3 linked regions of the Mus musculus genome follow. The protein of the gene in region 1 interacts with the protein of each later gene in a biochemical or structural test. Links are inferred from orthologs where the notes say so. Each region holds a gene or a part of one and is shown in the gene's direction. Other genes may lie near its edges. The genes, in order: Fbxo7, Uxt and Pink1.

The links.
Region 2: of the proteins of Fbxo7 (region 1) and Uxt, one has a biochemical effect on the other in vitro, tested with the Homo sapiens proteins (2 studies listed by BioGRID). The link is inferred for Mus musculus from reciprocal best matches to the Homo sapiens genes FBXO7 and UXT.
Region 3: the proteins of Fbxo7 (region 1) and Pink1 form a complex in vitro, tested with the Homo sapiens proteins (2 studies listed by BioGRID, with this or other methods). The link is inferred for Mus musculus from reciprocal best matches to the Homo sapiens genes FBXO7 and PINK1.

The regions. Positions count from the first base shown.
Region 1 is NC_000076.6:86,017,738-86,028,589, forward strand, and holds the start of Fbxo7 (F-box only protein 7), read left to right. Parts: upstream 1-4,191; 5' UTR 4,192-4,285; coding exon 4,286-4,407; intron 4,408-4,416; exon of another isoform or gene 4,417-4,556; coding exon of another isoform or gene 4,557-4,593; intron 4,594-6,678; coding exon 6,679-6,973; intron 6,974-10,852. UniProt on the Homo sapiens protein: Substrate recognition component of a SCF (SKP1-CUL1-F-box protein) E3 ubiquitin-protein ligase complex which mediates the ubiquitination and subsequent proteasomal degradation of target proteins and plays a role in several biological processes such as cell cycle, cell proliferation, or maintenance of chromosome stability.
Region 2 is NC_000086.7:20,956,663-20,967,436, reverse strand, and holds the start of Uxt (protein UXT), read left to right. Parts: upstream 1-5,458; 5' UTR 5,459-5,503; exon of another isoform or gene 5,504-5,587; intron 5,588-5,650; 5' UTR 5,651-5,659; coding exon 5,660-5,757; exon of another isoform or gene 5,758-5,761; intron 5,762-7,417; coding exon 7,418-7,499; intron 7,500-7,634; coding exon 7,635-7,702; intron 7,703-7,971; coding exon 7,972-8,079; intron 8,080-10,774. UniProt on the Homo sapiens protein: Involved in gene transcription regulation. Acts in concert with the corepressor URI1 to regulate androgen receptor AR-mediated transcription. Together with URI1, associates with chromatin to the NKX3-1 promoter region.
Region 3 is NC_000070.6:138,320,761-138,331,360, reverse strand, and holds the start of Pink1 (serine/threonine-protein kinase PINK1, mitochondrial precursor), read left to right. Parts: upstream 1-5,064; 5' UTR 5,065-5,141; coding exon 5,142-5,528; intron 5,529-10,338; coding exon 10,339-10,600. UniProt on the Homo sapiens protein: Serine/threonine-protein kinase which acts as a sensor of mitochondrial damage and protects against mitochondrial dysfunction during cellular stress.

The DNA.
Region 1 (10,852 bases):
TGACAGGGAGGGGCTAATGGGTGCTGGGAGAACCTGGTGGCCAGTGTCTGCTTTTTATTTATTTATGAATGAGACAAGAGCTCTCCTTGGCTGGCCTGGAATGTAGATCAGGCTGGCCTTGAAGCCATAGAGATGGCTCAGCCTCTGCTTCCCGAGTGCTGTGGTTAAAGGCAGGCACCACTATGCCTGGCTATTACTTATATCAGGTCTCACGTAACCTAAATTGGTTTGGGCTTGGTAAGCAGCCAGGGGTGAGCTTGAACTCCTGAGTCTCCCACCTCTCCCAAGTGCTGGGACTAAGGCATGCGCCATTATATTTAGCTTGCGCGGTGTTGCTGATGAAGCGCAGGGCTTTGTGAATGTGTGGCAAGCACTTTACTGTCATCAGAGGGACAGCAAAGAAATCACACAAATGTCTGCTCCGTTATGAAGAGGAAGGCTTTTTATTGTAAGAGAGAAAGGAGATCCACAGGCATTTGCAAGAGTCAGAAGCAGAGAGAAGAAAGAAGACCAGATGGGGCATGGCTAGAGCTAGGGTAGTGGAGCATGGGAAAACCATTCTAGTTATAAGGAGGATGAGTAGCCCAAGGAAGGGAAACTATGAACTGGAACAGCCTATGATTTTAGAGTGCTGAAAGGGGCCAGGATGCTAGTATGGGCTTTTCAATGCATAACAATATGTGTGAATAGGGACTGAACTGGCCAGAAGGCCTGTATGGGCATTGATATACAAATACAGGTATATGTCAGTTGGTCCCTTTTGCCAGAGTGAAGGGCAGGTTAATGGAAATGACTCCTTTTTAGCAGACCCATTTCACAAATTTCTGAGGAATGCTGAAGGAGTCGGCCAGCAAATCCTACTGTCCAGCATCATCTGAGCCAAGATGGTCCTTGTGGACCAAGTTAGTAGGCCTGCTCTTTTGGGATGTGGGATGCGTGGGGTTTTCCTTGAGACCTAATATTTACCCATTGAACTATATTCCCAACCTAAGCCCAAACAATCTATACAGATACCCCACCTACAATGAGTTGGACAGATTCCCTATTTTAAAGTTTAAAAACATTTAATGTCTGTAGGTGTTTTTCCTGCATGTCTGTGGATCACGTGGCTTGCCTGGTGTCCAGAGAGGCCAGAAGAAAGCACTGGATCCTCGAGAACTGGAGTTACAGATGGCTGTGAGCAGCATTGTGGGTGCTGACAATTAAATCCACAGCATAGCAAGAAGCATAGCAAGTCCCCTTGGCCCCTGAGACAATGCTAAGGCCCTACAGGTGTTCCCTGGGGCTAATTACATTTGATGTTAATTCCATTCTCCCGTGAGGGGCTGCGAACAAGGAATGAGTCAGCACTCTGGTGATTTCCTGTAAACCTTCTTCCCACCTTAATTTATAAAATAAAGGCTAGAGCCAGCGATTGGGCAGAGTAAGAGGGGAAGGTGGGGCTGAAGGTTTTGGGAGAGAAAGAGAGGAGGAGGAAAAAGGAAAGTGGAGCAGAAGAAGCACTTGGCTTGGAGAAACCAAAAGTTCTAAGTGGTCTCTTCTATGGAAAAGATGGTAGTGTAGCGGTAGATCTGCCCAGTCTTGGCGCACAGCATGTATTCATATTAATTGAGTTGTGTTTTCATTGCCAGGGCATATTTGGGTTGGAGATTTACCACAACAGTTCCCCCGCCAACCCTTTTTATAAGTCATATATATACTTCAGATTAGAGCATGGCCCTAGTAGTGCACATCTGTCAAATTCATGGCTTCTTCTCAAATTTTGAACACCTTCCTTACACTTCTGGGGAAATTCTAATAAGCTCCTAAAAAGGAGTCAGATTCTGATTTTCAGTTTCTTTTGCAGTGAGGACTCAGGTATGGGGCCCAAACTTCCTTAGTCAGATTGCACCCCATATAGACCCTTGATTGGGAAGTAAGGTGAGAAAACAGAATCTTTTGGAAGCTTGTCATTTTGTTGGTGCAGGACAGAGCAAAACCCACAAGGAATCTGAGGGTAGCAGAGACAGGGTCAGTCACTCCCCAGTCCTCCCTAGCAGTGGTGACAGCAATTTCCCGCAGACCCAACTTTGATATATTCCTAATCAGGACACGTCTTCAGTGTGGTTATAAGTTTTCTCCAGTCCTTCCTAGAATCTGCTGGGCCATATATCATCCCTTTAATTCACCCCTTCCTGGGTAGTTGCCCAGAGTCAATTTCCACTGTTTAGAACTAAAGACCGTGATATTGGAGACCCCCTCACAACTTTCCAGTGGCTTCTCATGTATTCTAGAATGTGTCTCAAACTTTTTGCCCAGCTCAAGAATATCCTCTTTCATAAAGATTGGTTTTCTATTACAACCAGTCTCAAACCAATCTGATTTATTTATCAGTATTCATGCTTTTGGTTTGATATTCTTATACTAAAATGTTGGCTTGTAGCAAAAAAAAAAAGATGGAAATAAATATGTAACTTCTGAGGCTATGTTGTAAAAGACTTCACAGTTTCTGTCTTGGTAATGCTTGGGTCGCTTACTCTCAGGGAATCCAATTATCATGTTATGTGGACATTCAAGTAGATTTCTGGAAAAAAAAAATCTGTGAAAAACTGGGGCCAATCGTTTGATGATATGTGTAGTCAAGTCTTCAGGCAGCTCTGGCAAGAGACCCTGAGACAGAATTACCTAACCACCCTGTACCCAAGTTCCCAATCTACAGAATTTGTGGGTCGACAAATGTTTATTGATGTGGGTTAGTAAGCTTTGGAGGACAATTGATATGCAGCAAAAGATTTTACTAAGACACTGTGTAACAACTAAAAGCTGCTTTAAATTTTGTGGTAACATGAAGGGGCTAAAGGAGTTGGCTTCAGCTTCAAGTTCCTAAGGGCAGCGCCAAGGAAGAAAGGAAGTAAATGCTGTTAATCCCACAGGAAAAAAAAAAATCAGTCCCACAGATTCGAGGAGAAAGACCATCAACCCCAAACCATCATGGCCAAATTAATTAATCAAGCTTTTCTTGGTATGTATACATGGGCTGGACATAGGTAAGGTAAGATTGTAATAGTTCAGGAGTAGGGGGTTTCCAGATGAGGATTTGGCAGGCAAATAGGCATGTATTACCGAAGCAGAACATAAGCATACCAAGTTGGTCATAACAGCCTCTTGAAACAAAGACATGGTTGCAAGGTGGTTACAACAGGGTCACCATAATAACCTTTTAAAATAAAGGCATGGGGCAGTACAGAGCCATTTGTAGCTAAGGTTACAGGTGGGACATAGCCCAATCCTTGAGAAACCTAGTTTGTCTTTACTATAAGATGGCTTTTACGCCTGAGATGGAGGCAGTCTGGTTTATCAAGATTTATCGTGAGAAGTGAAGAGCTATACTGTTGTGGCCTTCAAATCCATTGGGAGAAACCAAAGACTTAGGCTCAATTCAAATTTATATTAAAATGAGTTTATGCTTACTGCTAGCAGAAGGAAGGCAGCTTTAGAGCCCAAACAGCATTCCATAGGGAAGGGGGACTAAGGATAAGATGGGGTTTTAAATTGGACATCAGAAAGGTGTATATTACAACTTACCACGAAATACAAGCTGGGCAGGAAAACTGTTTTACTTTCCTCAGTTGTTTCTCACCTTCCCGCTATATAGTAATTAAAAGATCATTTCATCCCTTTCCCATAGCGATAGTGAGTTTTAAAGAAGCAAAGGCAGCAGTTACTATCCTCACAGCCATTATCCTATTCTTATCTCACCTGCAGGTCTCTAGTACCTCCCAGGCATCCAACAGCCCTTAAGGGATCCCTGGCTCCACATTAACTTTCTTTAGTCATCACAGGGGACCTGTGTACATTATTTCTCAGGCAGGTCTGAGCACTCTAATGACAGGGATAGAGCAGTTCATTTCTGGGCACGGAAACCAGTGACATCAGGTTAGGGCCGTCTGTCATGTCTCCACACTGTTGGCAGCATTCCTTCCAGAGCTAAAGATCCTGCTTGCTGGGAGGGAAGGAACAAACTCGCTCACCCCAGCAGAAGCAGAAGCAGAAGCGTAGAGACTCAAGTGCGCCCAAGCAAACCCAGCGCCTGCGCCGTGCGCGCCTCGCCTCCAGGTGGCGATGTCGCGCGCCGAGCCAGCGATAGGGAAGCGCAGGCGCTCGGCCCTCCGCTCGAGCGGAAGGCTCTAGGGGGCGTAGTCGACCGAGCGGCGAGCGCTGGGGATTCCTCGGGAGCGCAGGCCCGGAGCTCCTTGCTTTCGGTTTCTTCCCGGGGCCGACCGAAGCTTGCGGTCCGACTCTCGCCATGAAGCTGCGCGTGCGGCTTCAGAAGCGGACCCAGCCGCTCGAGGTGCCGGAGTCGGAGCCAACGCTCGGGCAGCTGCGCGCGCACCTCAGCCAGGTCCTGCTGCCCACGTTGGGGTTCAGGTGAGCCGCGTCGCTGTCGTGGGGCTCGGGGGATGGCGCGCTTCGAGCGGTCACGTGAGGCCCGGGCCTCCCGGGTGTAGCTGCACTGGGCGCCTGTGACTGTGACGCTCGGCAGCTGGGTGCTGGCCGGGGTCCGGCTCCGAGAGACCATGGCCCAGCCTCCCCCGGGTGCCGCTGTCCTCCCCGGTGAGTAGTCACTTCCGGGGTTTCGGTCGCTGCGGCCCCGAGGGCGGGAAGGGAACTCGGGAAGCTTGGCTTGCGTTAAATCTCCCGGTGTTAACTTGAGTTTACCTCTGCGGTTGGGATAGTTCAGTGGTTAAATCGGAAAAGCATCGTGCTCAAGGTGACAAAAGTCTTGACACCTTAGGTCACTGTAATTTGTGCCACTGCCCAAGGCTACAGTAACTTTAAAAACAGCTGAGCGTGCAAGTGGCAGACTGCACCTAACTGTAACTTTCTCACTTTCTCACTGTAAGGGTTCAGGAAGTACGCCTGTCAGCGGGCATTCTCTGGGTGAGAATGTTGCTTTTTTTTCACGAATAGAGGCATGACCCTAGAGAGCTTACAGTTTCATGGCAAGTTGAAAAAGGATTAGGTTCTATTACTAATTTATGGGGTTCTATTACTAATTTTTGCAGATGAAGCGTCTGTGTTTCTGCAGAAGATAGTTTCAGGACATAGAGAGATAACTGTATGGACGACCCACTTCAAGTGCTGAGCTAGAAATTTGAACTAGTGAAGAAAAAAAAAATTAAAAAGATGGGCTCTGGGGCTTCTAAAGGGAAAAATTTTCAAAGAAAAACGTTTCCCATTAATTGGCATTTTAAATAAGCCTTTTCACTTTATTTGTAGGGAGTTAAGCAAAGTGAGACCCTGAATAGATTTTTTCACCCTTCCTCCCTGCTCCCATCCCCCCATTAAGTGAGCCTGAGCTACACCTTTATTCTAGCGCTCTGGAGGAAGAGGCAGGGTTCAAGGTCAGCCTGGTCTACATAGCAAGTTCCAGACCAGCCAGTGTTACATTGTGAGACCCTGTCTAATAAGATAATAATGTTAGCCAAACCATTAAAAAAAGAGCATTTTTTCATATTAAAAGAAAATATGTTGCTGTATTATATATAATATATATTTCCATATAATGGTGACCTACCCACATGTTACTTATTGGTGTAAAACCAAGTGTTTTCAATGTTGATAACAGTTATCTCTCCTCACACTTTGAGAATTCAATTTTTAAGGTATTTACAAGTAGTCTTACTTCTCAGTTAAGCAGGGCAGTTTTGAAAGGGTTGGAAACCCAAGAGCTCTGTTTCTCTTGCATGCTGTTTTCACAGTTGCAGTTGGTTAGGTGGATGGAATTTAAGCCTCAGCTTGTGAAAGTAAACTCATTTCTCTGAAATTTTGTTCATTTAGGGAACAGAAGAGAAGCTTTAAAATGTGTTCATGTGACACATTTGTTATTCTTAAAGAGTATTTTCTAGTAAGCAGATCAAAGATTGCATATATGTATATATGCAAGCTTCTGGAATTGTATTATTTTTGGTAAAATCACCTGACCCCCCAAAATGACAGAAAATAGGGCCTTGGAAAACACTTCAGAAAAGTGGGAGGGAAAACTGGCATTTCTGTTAAACAGACCGCTCCTTATCCCATCTACAGAACGAATTGTTTGCTTGGGGAGTCCCCTTTCTGCCAAGGTTGACATGGTGTGTCCCTGGGCCCCTGGCAGGTTTTCAGCTTGTTGTTGACCAGAACATTTTGCAAGCATCAGAGCATCTTATTTCCTGAGGAGTAGGAATAGTTTTAACTCCAGTAATGTCTCTTTAATGGATGTGTCTTAAGAAAAATGAATGGGGTTGGGGGTTGGCGGGTTGGCTGAGGCGTTTGATGCACCAGCCTGACACTGGAGTTTGAAGCCCCAGCACGATGGAAAGCTGGAAGCAAAGCTGTGGGTTAAACTGGTTGATGTGTTAAGTTTAAGAAGCTCCTCATGGTCAGAGATGATGAGTACTGCAAAGTCTGTGCTTTAGAATTGGTGAAGTGTAGGTTACTGATTCGCCTCCCTGCCTACTAAAGCTCCAGTTACAAGTCTATGACCCAGGCTTTTGATGAGAACAAGTAATTTTGTCTCCTGCTTTTTCTTTCTTTCTTTCTTTTTAAAATATTATATAGAGCTTTTGGGAACATAGCATGTACTTTAATGTATTCCAAATGTATTATTTGGAATATTGGTAGGTAGCTCTTACTATGCTCATCCATCTTTCTTGGCAGTTCTGATACCCGATTTGCAATTACATTGAACAACAAGGATGCCCTCACTGGAGATGAAGAGACCTTGGCTTCATATGGGATTGTTTCTGGGGACTTGATATGTTTGGTTCTTGAAGATGACATGCCGGCACCTAACTTACCTTCATCTACAGATACAGAGCATTCCTCACTCCAGGATAATGACCAACCTTCTTTGGCTGCCACCCCAAGTCAGACTAACATCCCAGATGAACAAGGGACTGATTCATCCCAAGGACAGGCCACCCCATTTGATGCCTGGACTGATGACAGTATGGTGGGTATTGTAGATGAAGAGATGGGATAGAGTAATTGATAAGGTATATTGATTCTTCAGAGGAATTCTACACCAGTCAGCATGACTAGCATCAGTAAACTGTAGACTGTGCCCTTTGTGAACATTTTTGGTTTGATTTGGATTGGTTTGTCAAGACAGGATTTCTCTGTAGTACTGGCTATTCTCTGCTGCTCACTCTGTAGACCAGGCTGGCCTAAAACTCAGAGATTGGCCTGCCTCTGCCTCCCAAGTACTGGGATTTAAGGTGTGCCCACCACTGCCCTGCTTGAACATTTTTTTTTTTAAACTGCTGAATGTCTGCACTAATATGCTAGCACTCTAACTTGCATGGCCCCCCCACAGGAGCTCTTCTGCTCCTCAGAGGACCACTGGTCTCCTGTGCCTAGTGACTTCTTATACCACAGGCTGCCAGTCTGTTCTTTACTCTACTTTTCAGGCTGTCTGCTTCCTGCATCTTCATTGTGGCATTCTCTTGCTCTGTACTACCTCTGTCTCTTTTGACGCTAATTTTTCTATTCTGTGTTATTTCACAGAGGAGAAAAATCCCTTATTGTCCCACCCTACCTCTCCAGGTTTACTTTCTGTTCTTTTCCTGTCTCTAGTTAGTACAGATTCCCGATCCTTCCCATTTTTCCATTTTCATACTCACACAAGTGCACAACCTGCTGACCTTGTGACCAGTGAAGATGTGGCCTGGGGCCCTTGCTGACTCTCTTTTTCCTGTTTGTACTTCTGTCTGTATTCCAGAGTCCTTGCTAATTGTAGTTCAGCAATTTAAACATTTAATGGTGATCTTTGTTACTTTGTAAGTTCCTTATTATCATCATTATTATTAAGATTTATTTATTAATGTGTATAGTCAAAATAGAGCATCACACCCCATTATTAATGGTTGTGAGCTACCATGTAGTTGCTGGGAGTTGAACTCAGGACTTTTATAAGAACAGCCAGTGCCTTTCCAGTGAGCCAACTCTCCAGCCCCTAATTATTTGTTTTATATTTTTTGTGAAATGATTCTTTATTTGTTTTAGTTTTTTTAAGAGAGGGTTTCTCTGTATAACAAAACAATTAATACTGACAACATATACCATTCTTAGCCGTTTTTGTTTATTCTTATCAACCCAATTTAATTTCTTTTGCAAGCCTTAAACATTGATCCATGACATAGAATAGGCAGATATTCTGAATAGGTGGTTATTAAAATACTTAATAGGTTCATAAATTGTTAAAATAATTTCCACATACAGTAATTTTAATTTGTCTTTCAAATCATTCTTGTATCTCTGTGTGTTTCTGCTTCATAGGGCAATGTGTGCGATGGATAAGCATATGTGGCTGCATACTTAAACTTGACTCCAGACTCTGTTTTTACTGACAGGCTGGCTCTTTCAGAGAGTGCCTGCCTGAAGGTAGTGATTCCAGGTCTAAGAGCAATTCTAAGAGCATACCGTTTGTCTTGTAAGGTTTTTATGGGGTGACTATGAAACCTTGCTGGGGTGCTGAGCTTGGAGTCCTTGAATCTGTATGATCTGCAAGTTCAGTATAGAAGGGAACTGTGGAAAAGGAAGATAAATGGATGGGTAAGACTCAAAACCAGAGGAGAGGAATTTTATTTTATAACTAAATATAGGTTAGTTTTATTTCATTGCTCTTGGGAGTTACTGTTAATGACAGCAAGGGATAACCTGTATCAGACCTGACAGGAGGTGGAATGCAATTTAGCCAATTGCTTTCATTTTTTTGTCAGTGGCCTGTACAGGATTGCGTAGAAGTAATGCTTAGCTTTTTTCTGTTCTCGCACATGGAAGATGATAAACACTCATATCAGAGGGTACCAGAGCTTCTTGGACTTAGGGATATGGTTTGATAAGCCTTCAGTGGGTATGTAGTTAGCAGTTTAGGGTAATGCTTTTTTAAAAATTACACGCTTTGTCCCATGCTACTAAGTAATAAATGGCTAAAGTAGGATAATGGGGAAAAGTGAAGAGATTATTTTCATAATTTAGACTTGATATATTTAATATTTTTAATATGGTAATTTGTTCAAAGAAAATCATAGAAATGTTTTGAGCAGTAGCATCTTTTTTAAAAGTTTTTTTATTGGTTATTTTATTTATTGATATTTCAAATGTTATCACCCTTCCCAGTTTCCCCTCTACTAACCTTCTACTCCCTCTCCTTGGCCCCTGCCTCTGAGGGTGCTCCTCCACCCGCCTACCCAATCCTGCCTCAGGGCTCTAGCATTCCCCTACCTATCTGGGGTCATTGAGCCTCCACAGGACCAAGGGGCTCCCCTCCCAGTGATGCCCCATAAGGCAGTCCTCTGCTACATATGCAGCTGGAGCCATGGGTCCCCTCATGTGTACTCTTTGGTTGGTAGTTTAGTCCCTGGGAGCTTTGGGGGCTCTGGTTGGTTGATATTATTGTTCTTCCTATGGGGTTGCAAACTCCTTCAGCTCCTTCAGTCCTTGCCCTAACTTCTCCATTGGGGTCCCTGTGCTCAGTCAGCTGTATTGGTCAGGCTTTGGCAGAGCCTCCTACGGGACAGCTATATCGTGCTGAGCGGCAACATCTTTTAGGTAGTCTTTTAAATTTTAATTTTTGTTTGTTTGTTTGTTTGTTTTTGTTTTGTCTTGTCATATAGCTCAGACTAACCTTGAACTCTAAAATTCTTCGGCCTTAGCTTCCCCAGTACAAGAATTATAGGTGTGTGTTACTGCACCTGCCTAGAGTTCAGGTAACAAGTTCGACCTTTCTATAGCCATTAGGCTTTAGCTCTGCTGATTTTGAAAGGATAAATGCCAGCTGTGGCTCTATACAAGTCCTTCAACCTTGCCTTATACTATATAACTTTAAATTCTTCTGCTCTGATTCTTTTGGAAATACAATCCTAAAAAGAAAAAAGTTGCTTAGTATTAAGAGTTGAGCACAAACTAGGAAACAAGCTTTCTGAATAAAATCAATGTAGCAACTTAGCTTTACTAAAGCATTTTTTATATTCAGAAGCCGTAATGGTGAATCCGAGGACCTGGTTCATTTCAAAGCTGTATAAACTGGTTATCTTGACTAGTCATTTATTTATTTATTTATTTGAGTTAAAATTATACTATTTATAAAAAGGTATTGTCCTCTTCTCTGTCTAAGTTTTATGAGAGAGTGCCTGGTACGCAAAACCAGGCAAGTGTAGTATGCCATCCTTCGGCAGTTGGTTACAAGCCTTCCCTGAATGTGCACCATGTAGCAGGTACTGTGTTCCTTTTACAAAATGGACAACCTGTGTAGTCTTGTACTTTACACAAATTTGCAGTCATGGAGAGATGCAGATATGTGAATTGAAAAATAGCAATACAGTATGGTGAGGTAAATGTATAAAGGCTGTGGGTGGCATCCCTTGGGTCTGTTGAAGAAGTGGGAATTCTGCAGTGGCAGGAAAGGGCTGGTAGACAGTGAACAGATGACAAGTCAGGGAGTGGGGTCATGATGGCCTTACATGCCTACTTTTTCTGGACTTAATTTTCTAGGCCTGCACTCTACTGCCTGTCTCTGAAGAACTTGTTTTATGCATTTGTATAAGTGTAGCAAAGATGCTAAGTGTGAGGAAGAAGGCAAATGCGTTTTTGTTAAATGAACACATGACTCCTATTTTTAGACCTCTCAGAGCTTTTATAAGGTTATTACCGGATCCTGTGAATGTAGAGGGTTAGATTAGGCAGACGTAGCATGCATGTAGTGTTTTTCTGCTTGACTCTGTACCAATTTTTCTCTAAGAACATTCAGGGACACAGTCTTAAAGTACAATTGTGGGAAACAGTACTGCCTGTCTTGAGGAAATCCTGAGTTTTCAACTGGGACATAAGA
Region 2 (10,774 bases), on another chromosome or scaffold:
TTTGAAGATATGGGCACAGGGGGAAAATTCCTGAATAGAACAGCAATGGCTTGTGCTGTAAGATCAAGAAGCGACAAATGGGACCTCATAAAATTGCAAATCTTCTGTAAGGCAAAGGACACTGTCAGTAAGAAAAGAAGGCTACCAACAGATTAGGAAAAGATCTTTACCAATCCTAAATCCGATAGGGGACTAATATCCAATATATATAAAAAACTCAAGAAGGTGGATTCAAGAAAACCAAATAACCTATTAAAAATTGGGTTACAAAGCCGGGTGTGGTGGTGCACGCCTTTAATCCCAGCACTGGGGAGGCAGAGGCAGGCGGATTTCTGAGTTTGAGGCCAGCCAGGTCTACAAAGTTGAGTTCCAGGACAGCCAGGGCTACACAGAGAAACCCTGTCTCAAAAAAACAAAAAAAAAAAATTGGGGTACAGAGCTAAGCAAAGAATTCTCAACTGAAGAATACTGAATGGCTGAGAAGAGAAGCACCTGAAAAAAATGTTCAACATCCTTAATCACCAGAGAAATGCAAATCAAAACAACCCTGAGATTCCATCTCACACCAGTCAGAATGGCTAAGATCAAAAACTTAGGTGACAGCAGATGCTGGTGAGGATGTGGAGAAAGAGGGACACTCCCCCATTGCTGGTGGGATTGCAGGCTTGTACAACCACTCTGGAAATCAGTTTGGCAGTTCCTCAGAAAATTGAACATAGTACTACTGGAAGATCCAGCAATATCACTCCTGGGCATATACCCAGAAGATATTCCAACTTGTAGTAACATGCTCACTATGTTCATAGCAGTCTAATTTATAATAGCCAGAAGCTAGAAAGAACCCAGATGCCCCTCAACAGAGGAGTGGATACAGAAAATCTGGTACATTTACACAATGGAGTACTACTCAGCTATTAAAAAGAATGAATTTATGAAATTCTTAGGCAAATGGATGTATCTGGAGGATATCATCCTAAGTGAGGTAACCCAATCACAAAAGAACACACATGATATGCACTCACTGATAAGTGGATATTAGCCCAGAAACTTAGAATACCCAAGATACAATTTGCAAAACACAAGAAACTCAAGAAGGAAGACCAAAGTGTGGATATTTCATTCCTTCTTAGAAGGGGCAACAAAATATCCATAGAAGGAGTTACAGAGACAAAGTTTGGAGCTGAGATGGAAGGAAGGACCATCCAGAGACTGCCCCCATGGGAATCCATCCCATGAACAACCACCAAACCCAGACACTATTGCAGATGCCAGCAAGATTTTGCTGACAGGACCCTGATATAGCTGTCGCTTGTGAGACTATGCCAGTGCCTGGCAAACACAGAAGTGGATGCTCACAGTCATCTATTGGATGGAACACAGGGTCCCCAATGAAGGAGTTAGAGAAAGTACCTAAGGAGCTAAAGGGGTCTGCAACCCATAGAAGGAACAACAATGTGAACTAACCAGTACCCCCAGAGCTCGTGTCTCTAGCTGCATATGTAGCAGAGGATGACCTAGTCGGCTATCAATGGGAGGAGAGGCCCTTGGTCTTGCAAATATTATATGCCACAGTTAAGGGAATGCCAGGGCCAGGAAGCTGGGAGTGAGTGGGTTGGGGAGCAGGGGGAGGGGGAAGGGTACAGGGGACTAAACAATTAAAGGGGATAGCATTTGAAATGTGAATGAATATCTAATAAAAAAGGAAAACAAAACAAAACAAAATTTTTTTTTTAAAAAGGCAAAGGAGGGTAGCTAGTTCAAAACCTCAACTACATATTAAGTTCAAAAATAGCCTATATATACTAAATAGCAATACTATATTTCAAAAACAAAACCAACCAAAACAGTAAGACCATGCACTCATGACCCATGAATATATAAGCCATTGAAACCGTGTAAAATGTCAGTAAAGAAGTCTGTGTCTAACTAAAATGCCATCTCAAATCATGATGGACAAAGGTGAATTTTCAAATAAATATGCTCATTTCCTAAGAGAGCAGTAAAAAGTTACCACAGACTGGCTGGTTTAAACCAATAAATTCTATTCTGTTATAGTTCTGGAGACTGTAAGTCCAAACTCATGAGATCATAGAGCCAAGCCTTTTTGAAGAAAATGTATTCTATTCCCTTTCTACTCAAAATCTATTCTATGCCTCTTTCCTACCTTCTCTAAGGACAGCAGCAATCATTGATATGCCTCAGTTTGTATTTTTGAAGTTCCAAAAATCAAGTCCAGGGCATCATGCAAGCTAGGTAAACATTCTACCACTAAGTTATGGCCTCAACCCTTTAATTTATAAACATATTACCATGCTAGTATCATTTTCATCGCTGTGACTAGACTTAACAAAAGAACAAATGAGGAAGGACTTTTTTATGATCACAAAGTTTTAGACATCCTAGCCGGGTGTGGTGGCGTACACCTTTAATCCTAGACTCGGGAGACTGAGGCAGACAGATTTGTGAGTTCGAGGCCAGCCTGGTCTACAAAGTTGAGTTCCAGGACAGCCAGGGCTATACAGAGAAATCCTGTCTCAGAAAACCAAAAAAAAAAAAAAAAATTTCAGATATCGCATTTCCAAGATCAGCTTGGTTGGGGTCTTTTTTTTTCCCCCCTTTTAGGCCTCTTAGCAGGGCAGAAAGTAATGGCAGAAGGACATCATGGAGAAAAGCCACTTATCTCATGGCAGCCAAAAAACAGAAAAAAATGGATATAGGAATATATGTGTGTGTGTGTGTGTGTGTGTGTGTGTGTGTGTTTGTTTATAAACACACACACACACACATGCCCTTGGGGTGTTACTTCATCCAAGTAGGCTCCATTTCTTATGAGCAATTCAGCTATAAACTTATCAATGAATTAATCCATTGAAGAAGTCATCATGATCAATCACTTCTCAATATTGTCACCTGCGATGGATCAACCATAACGCATATGAGCCTTTAGAGAAGACATCTCGTATATAAATAATAACAATGACCCTAATGTCTGCCAGTTTTCAGTTTTCACACCATCTCCTATGTCTTTCTCTTTGTTTTATAAGAATATTTCTCGCTGGGCAGTGGTGGCACATGCCTTTAATCCCAGCCCTTGGGAGGCAGAGGCAGGCGGATTTCTAAGTTCAAGGCCAGCCTGGTCTACAAAGTGAGTTCCAGGACAGCCAGGACTACACAGAGAAACCCTGTCTCGAAAAACCAAAAAAAAAAAAAAATTCTCATTGGTTTGGGGCCATTTGTTTAACTCAGAATGACCCCCCACCTCAAGATCCTTAATTATATATGTAAAATTTTTTCAAACATATTCTGTGGCTATATATCTAGACATCATTCTACCCGTTAAACACAGACGTTTGCAAACAGATTAAGTTTGACTTGGTGCCTTACATCTGCAATGCCAGAAGTTGAAAGGCTAGGGTAAAAGATTTTAAGTTCAAGGCCAGCATGGACTAGACAGTGAATTCAATGCCAGCCTGGCTATATGACAAGACTCTAACTGAAAAATAAAGCTGTAGATAAATATTAAATTGGGCCCATACCTTATTACATATATCCATACTCTAGATGGACCAAGATTGAAGTGTGAAAATGAAACCCTGGTTATATTTCTTTCTAGTCTGGACATGGGGAAAGCAGTCCAGACTATGTGTAACTGTGCTACACAGTCAGACACCTCAGAGGAACACAATGAGTTGATATATGTAAAATGCTCAGAACTATGTATGGAAGGGGTAAATGTTTGATGAATAGTGATCACATCTGCTCTTATTCAAAATAGCAATGGTCATGCCCAACAGTGTAAATCGTGAGACAATGCTCCCTTCCTGCAGCTTTCACATTCTTCCCACTTTGCCTTCTATTCTCTAAGACTTAGAATAATATAGGTGATTATTACTTTCTACCACCTTGAGCAGCTCTACCACAGCAACAGACACATTCCTTGCAGTTGAACCAGTTATGAATCTTCTTTAGTAACTACCTCCCATTGTAAAAAAGAAGTTTGCTATCTCTATGTCAGGAACAGCAGTAACCTACAAGCCGCCGTGCAGAGTGAACTCAGGCTGTCAGACTGGTTAGCACCGTTTAACCAGTGAGCCATTTGGATAACCTAAAAGTATCTTTTAAATTAAAGAAAAATTACATGAAATATGTTAATAAACTTAACAGACCCAACTCTAGTCTATCTAAACTGTTCTCCTTAGCAAATAAAGATTAACTAATATTATATAGCTTCCTAATATCTGCTTTAAGCACATCAAATTTACTTTTAAATACATGTAACATCAAATTTTGGTTTTGGTTTGGGGGACAAGGTTTCTCTGTAGCCCTCATCATGGACTGCATGCCACCAAGCAGAAATTCATTCAAGATAAATTTCTTAAAATTTGTCTCCATTTAAACATTTTTATGTGCTCTTATTCATTCCCTTTATGGAGGGTGAAAACCAAACAATGTGTGCAACATATATTTTTTTCAAACAGATCCCCACAGGATATACTGCCTTCCTTATAGATTAGTACCATAATCCTTGCTGGTCTATAGGCACTCTTGTGCTTTTAAAATTATTAAATGCTTAAGTGGTCTCAGTGAGTTCTTTTGGTTTTGATTTGGTTTGTTTGTTTTAAAGAGAATATGAAATTGGAGGAAAATGTGGTAGGAGGAGTCTAGGAGGAGTTGGAGGGAAAAGGGAGTGGAGATGATGAAAATATATTGCATACATCTATGAAACTCTCAAAGAATAGAAATGTTTCTAAAAGAAAAAAATAGGGACTATATAGATACCTCAGTAGTTAAGAGCACTGGCCAGTCTTATAGAGGACCCAGGTTCGATTCCCATTACCCACATGGTGCACACAAACTGTTGGTTGCTCCAGTTCCAGGGAATCCCACAACTTCTTCTGGCCTTTGTGGGCAATGCACGCATGTAGTCCATAAACATGCAGACAAAACACATAAAATAGGAAAACAAATGTAAGAGTAAGGAGGGGGGAATACAGAAATGGCTCATCAGTTAAAAACACATAAAACTTGCAGAGAATGTAAACTCCATTATCAGCACCCACATCATGGTAGCTCACAACTGCCTATAAGTTCAGTACCAACGCGCGCGCGCACACACACACACACTTCAAATTACTAATTATAAACACTTAACTCCCTCTCCCTACCTTCCTGTAAGTCCACCCTCCCTCAGAACCCGCCAAATCTCATTGAACGTCACCCAAACCAGTCTCCCGCCAGCTCGCGACGATCCGCCTGCTGGCAGACCGCGGCGTGCCAGGCCCATCTAGATCCATAGGATCCTGCTACCTCCAAGGATTCACTCAGGCCCCGCCTGCAGCCCTTCCCCTAAGTGCATCTTCCCACACGCCGGACCGCCCCTCCCATCGATTTGGTTGGCTCCCTTGCTGGAAATTACATCATCCATCCGCGCCACCCGGAAGCCGCGGCTCATACTAACAGTTATTGCCGGTGGCCCTACGGTAAACGCCGTACTCCTGTACCGGTGAGTGAACGAGTTCCAAAATCGGGTTGGGCAGAAGCAACTCCGTAGCTCGAGCCGAAAGAAGTCATCCCCAACGTTGAGTGGCTGGAGAGAATTTTGTGAAGTTTAAATAGAGCGCTCAACGTGCCCCCCCCTTTACTCCCCCAGGTGCCCGTCATGGCGACGCCCCCGAAACGGCGGGCCTTGGATACGGTGGGGGAGAAAGTGCTGCGGTACGAGACCTTTATCAGTGACGTACTGCAGCGAGACTTGCAGTGAGTGACAACGTGGGAGGCGTGACGTTTGAGAAATTTCACGTGGTGGGTGGGACAGAATGCCGACCAAACTTTCGGATTGGCCGCCCAGACTTCTGGGAATAGGGTTGACTTCTGGGCTGAGATGTGGTTGGAACTTGTCCCTTTAGCAGAGCTCTGACCTTGTTTGTTGGTTTAAAATAGTCATTCCGAACACAGGGTGTTTCTGACTAGGCCATTTAACCAATATTTATGAACAAGTTGTACCTTACTTCACCTTTGTGAACTTTATTCATCTGTGAAATGGAAAAGTTTATTAGGCCTTCTTAACGTGGTGTTTGAGTTTTAAATGTGTCAACTCCGGCACTTGGGAGCCAGAAGCAGGAGGATCTTTGTAAAGCTGAGAACCAGTCTGGGCTACAGACTAACTTTCTCAAAGGGAGAAAAAAATAGAATAAAGCCAGGCTCAAGCTCCATGGTGTGTGCCACTTCTAGTGGAGAGATGGGAAAATTCACTTGTTTAGCCAGGATTACAAGCCAGCCTTGAAAATAGAACAATATTCTATTTTAAAAAAAATCCAGTGTGGTGACACAGGCCTGCAATTGCTGTACTTGGGATAGTGTCAGGAGCAGGATGACCCAGAGTTGAAGGTGATCTTCACCTACATTCGAGGTTGTGTATAGCCTGGGCTTTGAGATTATGTCTCAAAACAAGCAAACTAGGGCCAGCAAGATGGCTTGCCTCCAACCCCATGCCCTAAGTTAGATCTCTGGGACCCACATGGTGGAAGAAAGAAAGACTCCCAAAAACCTGACCTCTGACCTCCAGGTATGTATCATGGCACCCATACATGTACACAAAATAAACACATAAATGCAAGTAAGAACACATTTTAAAAATGCAGATAAACCCCACTATTATTATATTGAGGCTGAGAGGAAAGAATTGTTTGGTGTGTTTACAAATTCAATACTTAGCCTGAGAAACTCAGATATTGTCTTGGGTAATAAAACAAATAACCTAAATAGTTGTTTTAGGAAAGGAATTTGACCCCAGTGCCTGAAATACACTAAAGACTCAACAACTGGATGATTGCTATTGCTGTCATTACTAATCTGAATAGAAAGTTAGGTATTTAGAACTAGGACTGTGTGAGCATGCTAAAAGAGATGGAGAGGTACATTTAGGGTGAAGATGGGACATTTTAATTGGCATAAGTCACTGAATAAAATGTAATATTTATAATTATAATAGGTAACAAGTATATAATGCTTACCATTTGGCTAGCATTTAAAACACTTTGTAGTAAACACTCGATTCTAATGACTCTTATGTGCTACTACGGCCATCTCTGTTTTCTATGTGAAGAAACTTAATCCTAGGTAGGTTTTCTACTTTCCATAGTCACATTCCTAGTAAGAGGTAGAGGTCAGGCTGAACTACAGTCTGACCTGTATTTATTGAAATGCCTGCTGTGTCTCTGTCTATACCCCATTGTGTGTGTTTTGGAGGAGGGGAGCACGGGATCTCACGATGTAGCACAAGCTGGTCTTGAGCTCAGAATCCTCCTGCCTCAGCCCATGAATTACATCCATGTCAACCACAACCTGACTTAAAATGCCTGGCATCTCAAGAGGAATAAGGCTGCCTAATGTTCACTGTTGTATTTCTACATATCAGAAAGGTGCTGGATCATCGAGACAAGGTATATGAGCAGCTGTCCGTATATCTTCAACTAAGAAATGTCATTGAGCGACTCCAGGTAAAGGTTTTTAAATTGGGTACCACTTTGTGTATGTGTACAAAGAAGGGAGGCGGGAAGAAACCCCAAGAACAAAACCTTATCTGCCTTTAAAATTGCCCGCTGACACCTACCTCTTTTCTCCTGGCCCTATAGGAAACTAATCACTCGGAGTTATATATGCAGGTGGATTTGGGCTGTAACTTCTTCGTTGACACAGTGGTGTGAGTATATTCTCTCCCCTCCTGAGTTTCTCCCTTTTTTCATGGAACAAGTATTTCTTAGTATTTTCTATATACAAGGCTCTAGTAGCTTTTATATTTCATTAGGATATGAGCAACATGTTGTGGGTGTGGCCAAAATGAACACAAAGTATCTGCCTTTACAGAGCCTTCATTTTGAGAAACAGGAAGGAATAGGAAACACCTTAAACCATACAGTGTGCTAAATAGTAATAAAGACTTCTTCCACTTCCTCTGACCTCTTTCCTCAGCCCAGATACTTCACGCATCTATGTGGCCCTGGGATATGGTTTTTTCCTGGAACTGACACTGGCTGAAGCACTCAAGTTCATTGACCGAAAGAGTTCTCTCCTCACAGAGTGAGTGCATTCCAAGAGGATAGTATCTAAAGCCACTACATTGGCTAAGGGTACAGGGAAGTGGTAAGAACATTTGCTTAGCATGTGTGAAGCCCTAGGTTCTATCCATATCACACATCACACAAACACATACACAAAATATATAAAAGCCAGATATGGTAGTTCACACCTGTAATCCCAGGATTCTAGAGAATCAAGCAGGAGGATCATGAATTTGAAGCAACTCTGGGTGATAAAACAAATCTCTGTGTATAAAACAAACAGAAAAAATAATAAATAGACATCACAAATTTTAATACTCTACCCTTTTCCCTGTGGCTACCTGGGATGGTACTTAGAAAAACATACTACCTTCCTCTTCGGGGCTCAGACTAAGAAAACTGAGGATGCAAAGTTCAGCCAGGGTGTCATACTAAACACTCAATAAGTACTTTTTATATTATTCCTTCATACATTTATTGAGTATCTTATGTATACCAGGTTCTGTGGTTAATGTTGAGAATATAGCAGTAAACAACAGAAGAGTCTTAGAAGCTTACATTTCTAGAACTATGTTGAAATCTCATGTACATACATCTGTGACCACATCCGTGAGATTTCAACCTAAGAATCAGTTAACAGTCTAAGAAGCTGCTTCTCACTTAACTATCTGCTCATTTTCCTGCTCATTTGTTGGTCTCTCCCCTCTCTGAACTTCATGTGCCTGTACCCACACATGCAGAGACAATGCCTTCCTCTATTGCTGTCTGCTTTATTTATTTCTCTTGAAATAGGGTCTCCACCAAACCTAAAGCTTGCCATTTTTTGGCTTCAGCAAGCACCCATGCCGGGGTCAGAGGTGTGTGAGTTTTTCCATTGGTACTAGGGATCCAATTCCCATTCTTATGCTTGAGCAGCAAATGTTCTTGTCCACTGAGCCACCTCCCTAGCCCTAACACATGCTTTAAGCATTTCCCACCTTTGGGAGCATTCAGTAGCTACTGGTGTCTGTCTGCTCTGCAGCACTTTCTCCATGTGGTTTCTTTTCTCAATACTTGATTGTCTTGCATAAATAACAAGCTCCCTGAACAAGTTCTTCTGTGATCTAACTTCAAAATTGCAACTCCTAGTGTTCTTGAATTGCACCCCCTTCTACTTAAAAAAATGACCATTAGTGTGTATATGTGCATGTCTGTGGACATATGTGCTATAGCATCCATGTGTAGATCAGAGCATAGTTTTGTAGAGTTGATGCTATCCTTCCAGGGACTCCATGAATGGAACTCAGATCCCCAGGCTCATGTGACAAGCACCCACTGAGCTATCATACCAGCCATCTTCTAATTTTTTCTCTATCTACCATCTTAGTACCTGTTAAATTGTACTGTGAAATGCCTTTCTTTCTCACGCTCATTGTCTTTTACAGTCAGATAATAAGTATCACTTACAGTTTTTTACAGGGCTGAGACTTGAAGCCAAGGTCTCCTGTGTAGTAAGCAAGAGCTCTATTACTGAACTCTATGTCCCTAGCCCAAGTTACAGGCAGTGTAAAGGAAAAAGCTTATACTGTGGGTAACTAAAATAGTGTAAAGCACAGTTTCTTTTGAATGAATTATGCTAGAAACAAATGAAGGGATGGTCAAAACTTATCTATGTGGGTAGTGGTGAGTAGAGAAAATGTGGGCTCCAAGTTTTGTTTTTGTGTAGGGAAGAACTACTTTGGGTGAGAAGCTTGAAATATAGATAGTGCTGTAGTTAAAGAGATGGCTCAGCAGTGAAGAGCATTTATTACTCTTTCAGGAGTCCCAGGTTCTATTTCCAGAGCCTGCATAGCAGTTCGCAAGCTTCTATAATTCCAGTGCCAGGGTATCTGACTCCCTCTCCTGGCCTCTGAACACCAAGCACACAAGTGCTATACAGACATACATGCAGGCAAATCATCCATACACATAATACGTAGGTACTGGAGGCCACACAGAAGGCCTCAAACTCCCACTCTCAGACAAGTGACATTTGAGTCAGTTTATTGGGTGAATCAAGCCATGAGCTATCTGGGGAAGAATATTCTTGACAAAAGGGACAGTGTGTCTGGCAGGCTTGAAAAACTGTCACATGTGACATAGCTTAGGAAAAATGAGTATGAGGGAACGTACTCCCTTAGATAAATAACCACTCACAAGTATGAGCACCTGCAATGATCATTCCTGGATTCGTTCCTAGAGTTGTCGCCTGTACGGTTCCAGTAGTTCTTCTCTTAAGCTTTCCAGAGATTTTAGTATTAGTAGACCTGAAACCTGCTAAGATTTCTAAATTTTGCTGATCAAACTATAATTTGATCAAGGTCATTGTAATGCTGAACTATGGACATTTAGAACAAGTCCCACTTTTTTTTTCTTTTTTTTTGGTTTTTTGAGACAGGATTTCTCTGTATAGCCCTGGCTGTCCTGGAACTCACTTTGTAGACCAGGCTGGCCTTGAACTCAGAAATCCACCTGCCTCTGCCTCCTGAGAGCTGGAATTAAAGGTGTGTGCCACCATGCCCTGCTACAAGTCCAATTTTTATCACATGTTTTCCTCCTATGTCACAGGGGGTTTTTGTTTGTTTGTTTTATTTCTGTTTTTAATGAGAATTGATATATATATATATGTACATACATACATACATATATGAGGTATTTGAAGTTAACAGACTCCTTGCCTGGTCTTTCTAATCTGT
Region 3 (10,600 bases), on another chromosome or scaffold:
GACTATCTGCCCGCTGAGACAGCTGGTGTCACAGAGAGGTTTCTCTCATAGGACAGATGGGGCTGGGGAGATAGCTTGCTGAGTAAAGTATTTGCTGCACGGGCACGAGGCCTTGAGTTCAAATCCCCAACGCCCACATAAAGCTGGGGGCAACGGTGAATGTCTGTAACCCCAGCATTGGGGTGATGGGATAGGGACAGTCCGTAAGCCGAGCATTGGGAGTGACAAAGTAGGGACAATCTGTAAGCCCAGCATTGGAGTGACTGGGTAGGGACAGGCAGATCCCCAGATCTCACTGGTCAGTCACTCCGGGCAAATGGGTATGCTTCAGTTCAGTGAGGAACCATGTCTCAAAAATAGACAAACGAGTAAGTAAATAAATGCAGGCGGGAACAGAGGAAGACGGGTGATGTTGCCCTCTGGTCTCTATGTGCACGTATGTGCATACGGGGACACATACCTCCTCATAAATTAAAAAAGGAAAAAACAGAAGAGAAGGGGTGGGAAGGGATGGAAAGAAAGGCATCTCCTAGACCCCTGTCAGAGACAGGTGAGAGCACAGAGGCCCTCCGTCCCTGCCAGAAGCTTCTGTGTGCAGACATCACTTGCCTGCCCTTTCTATAAGATGCCTGCCCAGGAATCGGGCTTCATGCTGTGCTCGGCTCAGACCTGTCAGAAGCAACTAAGGCTTTTCTACAGAAAAAGACGTGGACACATCCAATTTACAGCAGCAGGTTAATTAACCTGGAGATTCCATTTCCAGCGGGCTGGTTATGTATCACAGTCTAGCGAGACTGCCTGCGATTTAGGAGAACAAATCCCGAGGCTTATAGCAAACTCGCTCCTGCGCTCCAGATTCCGCTCAGTGCCCTCATCACAAGCCTCACCGCTGAAGGATTATGTTACAGGAGATTAGAGAGCACATCCTGCCGGGTGTGGGGCTTAGCGGGTAGACGCTAACCTATCACAGATGAAACCTTGGATTCCATCTCCAGCGCTGTGTACCGAGACTGGGTGTGGCAGAGCATACATAATCCTATAATCCCGGCACTGGGGAGGTGGAGGGGGTAGGAGGAGCTAGAGGTCCAAGTTCATCCTCAGCTACCGAACGAGTTTCAGATTGGCTTGGGCTACGTGAGACCCTATCTCAGAATACTCACCACAAAATGTTCATTGAAATATTATACTCAGGATAAGCAGTGGTGGTGTGTGCTTTTAATCCCAAACGGGCAGGCAAATCTTTGTGAGTTTGAGGCCAGCCAGTTTACAAAGATGGTTTGGGACAGCCAGGGCTATATAGAGAAGCCCTGCCCACCCACCCCACCCACCCCCAAAAAAAAAGAAAGGAAGGAAGATTGTATTCAGGGGTCTGGGATTCTGTGGTAAAGCGTGTTGTGGGGCAGGACAGAAAATTGCACTGTGCATCTCCAGGTGTACAGTGAGTGAAATGAATTTTCGATGTTGTCGAGACAGGGTTTCTCTATGTCGTCCTGGTAGCCCAGGAACTCGCTCTGTAGATCAGGCTGGCCTCGAACTCAGAGAACCACCTGCCTCTGCCTCCTGAGTGCTGGGATTAAAGGTGTGCGCCACCACTGCCCTGTTGCAGTAAATCTCCAACCCAAATAAGCCTGCGCAATGAAAACACAACTCAATTAATATGTACAAGCTGTGTGCCTAGATTGGGCAGATCTACCGCTACTATATTCCCCAGCTATGAGATCCCTTATAGCTTATTGCGGTTTCTACAGGCCAAGTGCTTTTTGCTCCATTTTCCTTCCACCTCCTCCTCTCGTTCTCTCCAAAACTTTTCAGCTCCACCTTCCCTTCCCCTGTTCAATCATCAGCTCTAGCCTTTATTTTACAAGTTAGTATGGGAGAAGGGTCATGTGAAGTCACGTGAGTATGTGATTCACTCCTCATCCCAGGCCGCCCCTCTCTGGGAAGCAGAATTAGCATCAAAATACAAACAAAACGAGGGCAATCCACAACGCTGCCTGGTGAGTAAAATGAATTTTTTATCACGTAAACATATAGATCATGAATGAGGTCACGAGCATCCAGAAGTCCCTTCACATTCCTCTGGTAGCTGCCTACCCAAGGGACCTCAGGGCCATGACCCTTAACACTAGAGATCTGTCTCACTCACTTGCCTTCGTACAGTATGTAAATGGGAGAACATCTATCCTTTTATTCTTGCCTTAACTCCTTACAGTGTTTATAAAATGCAGGTGTAGCTCTGTGGGTTGAAGGCCATTCTGCTCTACATAGCAAGTTTTGAAAAAGTTAAAATAATAGATCATGGTCACTGCTGTATTTGGCAGCTGTCTCTTTTTACACCCCAAGAATGATTTACTTTGCAATAAACTCTATCTTCTATTGGACACACATACATACACACACACACACACACACACACAAATGGAGCAGAAGATAAGAGACTTTAGGAGAAAATATAAAATGGCTATTTGCTGACAATTGTTGAAGCTGGATTGAAGTAGAAACTTAAGGGTTCTTTGGAAAGTCAGTTGTGTTGGATGCTGTTTCACTGGGGCAAACAAATGAAGAAACATTTGCTGAAGTGGACACAGGTGAAGGCTAAGAAAGACTTGTGAGGGAACATTTTCCCCCGAAGCAGACACAGATAAAAGGATGTTCTGCTAAAGCAAACATGTGAAAGTGCACGTGACGAAGGACTCGTTGCTAACAACACACATGTATTGGTCCGCCTTACATCGCAGAGTTGAGCTCCTTTGTCGGAACTCCACAGAGAGAAATGCACCAAAACACTTCTGATGGTGTGCTGCAGTTTCTCCTTCTTCTTCAATTAAGATTTACTTATTTATTTTATATATTCATCATTGCTCTCTTCAGACACACCAGAAGAGGGCATCAGACTCCACTGCAGATGGTTGTGAGCCACCATGTGGTTGCTGGAAATTGAACTCGGGACCTCTGGAAGAGCACTCAGTGCTCTTAACCACTGAGCCATCTCTCTGGCCCATGCTGCAGTTTCTTGCAGCTTCCTGGGACTCAGGATGATTGGCGGAGTGATGTCAGCTGAGACAGACACATGTGCTGAGACAAGACACGTGGCAGTGGCAGGCATGTAATGTTTGGAGGGAATATAAATAGGACTTCACATACAAGGACAAAGGCGGAGCTAGCTTATAAAGCTAGCTGTGCAATGCTTGGTGGTCTCTGAGTCTTCCCATCTCTGAGAGAGGCACAGATGAGAACTTCTGGTGTCCCCTCCTATCCCTCCTGCTGACTAGTGCCAAGGCTGAGGCCTGGCTGTCTCTGCTAGGTAGTGCCACCGTTGCTGATTCATGTTTGCTATCCTGACTCTACTGAACTGGACTGTGCTATATCTGTGAAGTGTTTGCGAGTGGATCAAGCTGCCACTGTCTCCTGTGAACTGAACTGCCGATTTCCAGACAACACAGATGGAGTTGCTCCAAAGAACCTTTCTAAACAGGTCCACTTCCTTTCTTTCCCACTACCTTGTTAATAGCGTTCTCACGCCCGGCCAGGAAGAACACAACAGACCAGAATCTTCTGCGGCAAAACTTTATTGCTTACATCTTCAGGAGCTAGGAGCGCAAACCCCCAGCCCCAAAAGCGAAAGCCCCTTCTTACATCTTTAGGAGCCAGAGCTCCGGCGCGCCAAAGCGCAGAGCGCGCTCTATTGTTTACATCTTTAGGCAGCGAGAGAGCGCAGGGCGCGCAGAGCCAGAGAGATGCCAGCGAGAGAGAATGGCGGAAAACCCGTCCCCTTTTTAGGAGAGTTATATTTCGCCTAGGACGCATCACTCCCTGATTGGCTGCAGCCCATGGCCGAGCTGACGTTCACGGGAAAGGCAGAGTACAAGTAGTCGTAAAATACCCTTGGCACATGCGCAGATTATTTGTTTACCACTTAGAACACAGGATGTCAGCGCCATCTTGTGACGGCGAATGTGGGGGCGGCTCCCAACACTACCTCTGGTGGGTAGTGGGTTAAAAGAGAGGTTAAAGCATTGAAGAACCATCATTTAAAATAGGCTTTGAAGGCTGGGCAGTGGTGGCACACGCCTTTAATCCCGCACTTGGGAGGCAGAGGCAGGTGGATTTCTGAGTTCGAGGCCAGCCTGGTCTACAGAGTGAGCTCCAGGAGAGCCAGGGCTATACAGAGAAACCCTGTCTCAACACCCCCCCCCCCCAAAAAAAATAGGCTTTGAAAAAAATTAAAAATTTCACTGGATGACCAGTATTTGGTATTATGTGATTTTACACACACACACACACACACACACACACAAAATTATGCTTAAGTCAGAGACAAGCAAAAAGATTATTCAGCCTGATGTGGTGGTATATACCTGTAATCCCCACACTCCAGAGGGCCATCCTAGTCTACAGGAAGAATTCCAAGCCAACCAGGGCTATGCAAGGCCTTGTCTCAAATAAAGTAAAATAAAATGAGTAAAAATAGTAACAGGGTTAATAACCTTATTATCAGCTAGCTATTCGTAACAAGCAGTTTAAGTCATAGGGATTTATTAAGCATCTGGGTGGCTTCTGGTTAAGTCTCCCAGTCAGTCTCAGACCTCAGCTCCTGCACCCACTGGTGCATAAATTATGGCCTTTGGTCAAGATTTCCCTCCAAGATCTAAGCCCCGGAACCTCCAACCTGTCTGTACAGGAGCATGAGAGCACTTGGGAGTGGGGGAGAAGAGCCAAGGTCTTCCCTCGATAGCCAGGGCAGTGTGAACTTCAACCTCAACTCTAATACCTGCAAGCAATCTGGAAACACCACAGTCGCTTATCTACAAAATTGGCACTCATATCATGGGGGGGACAGTCAAACTAGCTAACAGGTGTAAAGGGCCTGGATCGGTGACTGATAACAAATATTAGTTTCCTGGCTCAACGTCTCATCTTAACCAGGACCAGTGAAGTTGTTCACAACCCCTCGACCTGGGTTCAAAGTGCAAACCAGCTGCACCAAGGGATGCAGGGATGAGCGGGTAGCGCCCCCGCGTGCTGCGCAGGAGAACTGCCGGGGACCGCCCCCCGCGCTTGCGCACAGGCGCCGCCCCCGAAGTTTGTTGTTGTCCCAGACGTTTGTGGCGGTGGCAGCTGGCTCCGGTCACCGCGCCACCATGGCGGTGCGACAGGCACTGGGCCGAGGCCTGCAGCTGGGTCGGGCGCTGCTGCTGCGCTTCGCGCCCAAGCCCGGCCCGCTGTTCGGCTGGGGGAAGCCCGGCCCCGCGGCGGCCTGGGGCCGCGGAGAGCGCCCAGGCCAGGTCGTAAGCCCCGGAGCACAGCCTCGGCCGGTCGGGCTCCCCCTCCCGGACCGCTACCGCTTCTTCCGCCAGTCGGTAGCTGGGCTGGCGGCGCGGATCCAGAGGCAGTTCATGGTGCGGGCCCGGGGCGGCGCAGGCCCTTGCGGCCGAGCGGTCTTCCTGGCCTTCGGGCTGGGGCTGGGGCTGATCGAGGAGAAGCAGGCGGAAGGCCGGAGGGCCGCCTCGGCCTGTCAGGAGATCCAGGTGAGAGCGGCGGTGGGCGGGAGCGCCGGGAGCGGGCCGAACCGGGCCAGAGTGTAGCCCTGAGGCCAGCCGGGCCGGGGCGGGGCCTAGGCCAGGAGGAGGCGGGGTTAGGAGAGTGAGTGATCTGGGTGGGGCGGGGCCAAATTGGACAGCAAGGGCGGAGTTAGTTGGATAGTTGTTGGGGCAGCCTCAGAATCCTAGTGGTGTAGGGGCGGGTCGTGAACCAGGGCGTGGTAGGAGCCTGGGCATTGGGAAGGGCAGGTCTCTGAGCCGTGATTGGGCAATTTAAGGGGGTGGGGTACTCGTGGACCAGACTGAGTGGCTGGTGGCATCTTAGTTATGTGTCTAAGAGCATGAGGACATGCCTAGACCTTGGGGGGGGGGGTAGGTAGATCAGGGGATAAGGCAAAGATTAAAATCTATCTATGACTTGGACTATACATTTCTTGGAATTGATCTGTTAATTAAGGCTGACCTATTTCCCATTACTGATGGCCTGATATGCCGACACTTTGCAAACAGTATGGTTTAAAAGCTGCTGATTATTGGTCTCTGTTGCACTGTAACAAATGGCTTTGAGTAAATTTCTTTTCTTTTGGGATGCATAAAAGGGGGACAGAGCCTTGATTTGTATATGTAGCCCAGGTTTGTCTTGAACTTTTTTTTTTTTTAGTTTTTCAAGACAGGGTTTCTCTGTGTAGCCCTGGCTGTCCTGGAACTCACTTTGTAGACCAGGCTGGCCTCGAACTCAGAAATCCACCTGCCTCTGCCTCCCAAGTGCTGGGATTAAAGGTGTGCACCACCACAGCCCGGCTGGATGATAACATTTGGAATGTAAATAAATAAAATATCCAATTGAAAAAAAAAAGTCACTCAGGAGGCAGAGGCAGGCGGATTTCTGAGTTCGAGGCCAGCCTGGTCTACAAAGTGAGTTCCAGGACAGCCAGGGCTATACAGAGAAACCCTGTCTCAAACCCCCTGCCCCCCCCCCAAAAAAATCAAAAGTTATCATCCCCTTTCCCAGTTTCCCCTCGGTAAACCCCCTATCCCATTCCTCCTCCCCCTGCTTCTATGAGGATGCTCCCCCACCCACCCACTCTCAACTCACTGCCCTGGCATTCCCTACACGGAGTCATCGAACCTTCACAGGATCAAGGGCTTCTCCTCCCATTGATGCCAGTCAAAGCTATCCTCTGCTACATATGCAGCTGGAGCCATGGGTCCATCCATGTGTACTCTTTGGTTGGTTGGTAGTTTAGTCCCTGGGAGCTCTAGGAGGGGGGGGGGTTGGTTGGTTGATATTGCTGTTCTTCCTATGGGGTTGCAAACCCCTTCAGCTCCTTGGCCTTGAATTTCTGATCTTTCTACCTCTATCTCCAAAGTGCTGGGATTATTGGTATGGACCACCATGCTTGATACACATCTTCTAAAACCCCTACCACTCTCATTCCTTGGTGCACTCATCATCCTAATTTACAGGGAGTCCATGCTCAAGAGAGATGAGAAGGTTTACTCAAAATCACACTGCTGATAAAAGGCAGTGCCCAAAGTTCACCCTTCAAAAGGCTGGCCCTCAGCTGAGCCAGACTGCCTGCCACTCCTGTTTAGCCAAACAGTGGGAGAGAGGCTGAGCAGAAACTGCAGCAACGCTGGAATTTCAGGAGAACACAGAAGATCTAACGTGTTAGTATTTAACCAGAGTGGAGTTATGACTGGATACATGGAAGCTCTGGAGCCTTTTAAACTCTTAAAATAGCACAGAGACCTCTCTAGTCGCACAGTTGTCTGGTCAAGGTCACCCAGACCAACAGAAACAATGGATGTGTCTATTAGAGTCTGGGACTTATTTTGAGGAGTTGGCTCAGGCTAGGTTCGCAGATCTAAAACCGGCAAGCAGGCCCAGGGAAGAGCTGGCTCTGCAATTTAAGTTCTTGGGTGGTTGGCTGCCAGAACTCAGCCTTCTTGGAGGAGAGCAGCCTTTCCCCTGGGGTTTAGAACCCCTTGCTGAGTCAGACCAGCCCCTGCATGCTTCAGGGTAAGGGCTGAGCAGCAGAGGCTTAGGCACCATGCTCTAAACCATCAATGAAGGACCAAACAAGCATTTCCTCTCCTCCCTGTTCCTAGTACTGGAATCCAGTTCCTGTGTCTTGCATAGTTATGCAGGGCAACCCTGCCTCAAACAAGCACACAAACAATAGGAAAAGGTATGAGGCCAGGTGGCAGGTAAGCAGGTGTAAAGACTTTCAACACCCTGGCCATTTGACAAGTGTGCATGGAAAATAGATGAGCTATCCATTCACACTTCCCAGAATAGCTAACCTATTGTAAGAACAATAGCCGACACCATGAGGTGGGGAAACAGAGCACTCACTCCTGGTGGTGTTGCCAATGGAACATAATACAAAATTAAATAGGTGTTTACCACACCAGCCTGTCGTTGAAGTTGTCAGCATCTACTGGGGGGAAACAGAAACAGTCACACAAAACCCTGTGTGCTGCAGTTTCTATGGAAAACAGTAACCCTAACCTCTGAAGATTAACAATAGACTCATTCTCCCTGGTAATTCCACTTCTGTATGAATATTTGGCATAATGGAAATCGTATACAGACCTTTCTGCACTGAAGCTCAAGGCTACTTACTGACTATAGCCAGGGGGTGAAGTGACCCACCCCACCCCACCCCACCCATGTCCTTCAGTGCATGAATGGATAAACGGAGTAGATACAATAGAGGGTATTATCTAGCCTTTGAAAAGGAATTCTGGCACCTGCTACACATGGATGAATCTTAAAGACAGTGTACGGCTCTAGTTCTAAGAGCCAGGCTTCTCTGCATGCCCGGACAGAGAGGGGAAGAATGGAATATCGTTCTATAGTAGGCACAGAGCCTTATAGTTTTGCAGAGCTGGAATGATGATAGTGGTTGCTTAGCAACATGATCGTTCCTAACACTGCAGAAGTATTCAAATGTATGTCAGACATATTTGACAATATGTGCTAGGCATGTTGGACCATATCTCTAGTCTGAACACTTGTGGGAGGCAGAGGCAGGCAGATCACAGAGTCTGAGGAGAGCCTGGTCTACAGAGCAAGCCAGATATAGATGTAGGGAGACTCTGTCTCAAAAGAAAAGAAAAATTACAATTTAAATATAAATCTATTTAGTGTAGTATATTGATGATGGTAGCAACATTGTTCATAATACCCCGGAACAAAAACATCCACCCGTGAGTGAAGAGACAGTAACATAAGCCATGGTTTGTATGTCCATGATGAAGTCTCCCTCCGCAGTTAGCAAGCAACCAGCTAGACATGCAGATTGGGACCTGAATGTACCTTGGGCAGCAGGCTAAATGTAGAAACTGGGGCTTAGAAAGCTGCACGCTGCACGATTCCATGTCTAACTCTTAATATGGGTCATCTGAGGATGGCACTGTGGTGGTACAGAGGTTGGAGGAACCAAGGAGCTGTGGCTACGGAGCAGCCCTGTGTCTTGACTGGGTGGTCATCACATGAGACCACATGAAGTGAGATTGTAGGAGGCTGCACACTGATGCACAGGTGTGCACGCATGCATACACATGGATACACACATGCCCACACACATGTGCATATACACATGCAAGTGTGGTTGCAGTTAAGTGTGGACCATGCAGTGATGCAGTGTGGAATGTGCTACCGCAGTATGGTATCTTGTGCTCAAAACCCTGGTTGATGGGGATCACTCTGCAAATATCTCTCCCACCCCTCGGGATTTGGGTTTGTAAAGCTATGGGCAAGGGCACACCCATTTCCATTGTATTAAACAGTTAGAAGCTTTGGTTTAAAATATAGTAGCTTCTAGGGACCCAGTGCCTTAGGAACCACAGAAGGCGTGTGTGACAGGCTGGTCCCCAGGGCTGGTCCTGGAGGAAGGGTGACCCAGTCTGGGCTTGAGTCAATAGGGTTTTGCCAGGCACAGCAAGAACGCAGATGGGGGCCTGGGGGAGAGATCGGGAAGGGACTCAGGAAGAGGGAACTGCAGAGCAAGCCCAGATATGCAGGGCAGGGGCATAGCTCAGTGACAGTACTTGCCTAGCGTAGGTAGGGCTCGAGGACCCCAGAAACCAACAAGTGTAGGCGTGCACAGCCCAGCCTGGCATAGCTCCAGGGCAAGCCACAGCTGTCCCCTAGTGACCACAGGGGATGGGTTCTAGGTCCTGTTCAGTCAGATAGCCAAATACATAGGAACCAGGTTAATAAGATGACAGTACTGTATGGACCCGTCCATATTCCTGTGAGCTGTCAGTTGTTAGTATATCACTCACAGTGCCCAACGTGGCATTACACAGACTGGAACAAATGCCATGTGACTGTTCATAGAATAATGGCAAGAAAAAAGTGCCCATACAAGTTACTTGTCTTGTTTTGTTTAGTTGTTAAAGACAAGGTCTCAGGCCAGGCATGGTGGCACACTCCTTTAATCCCAGCACTTGGGAGGTAGAGGCAGGTGGATTTCTAAGTTCAAGGCTAGCCTGGTTTACAGAGTGAGTTCCAGGACAGCCAGGGCTAGACTGAGAAACCCTGTCTCAAACAACTTACCCTCCCTCAAAGAGAGAGAGAGAGAGAGAGAGAGAGAGAGAGAGAGAGAGAGAGAGAGAGAGAGAAAGGTGAGAAAGACTGTCTTAGGCAATGAAGCAGAAGCAGGCTGCATGAGAACCCTGTATCAATGTGCCTCCCCACTCTTGTGTTTGCTATGTAGGTGGCCCCTCCCCTCCCCCCCATTCCCCGCCCTCCACCTCCAGATAACTACATTCTTTTCCCTCACAGGCAATTTTTACACAGAAAACCAAGCGCGTGTCTGACCCACTGGACACTCGATGCTGGCAGGGCTTCCGTCTGGAGGATTATCTGATAGGGCAAGCCATTGGCAAGGGTTGCAATGCCGCTGTGTATGAAGCCACCATGCCCACGCTGCCCCAGCACCTGGAAAAGGCCAAACACCTTGGCCTTATAGGAAAGGGCCCGGATGTCGTCCTGAAGGGAGCAGACGGGGAGCAGGCTCCAGGGACTCCCACCTTTCCCTTTGCCA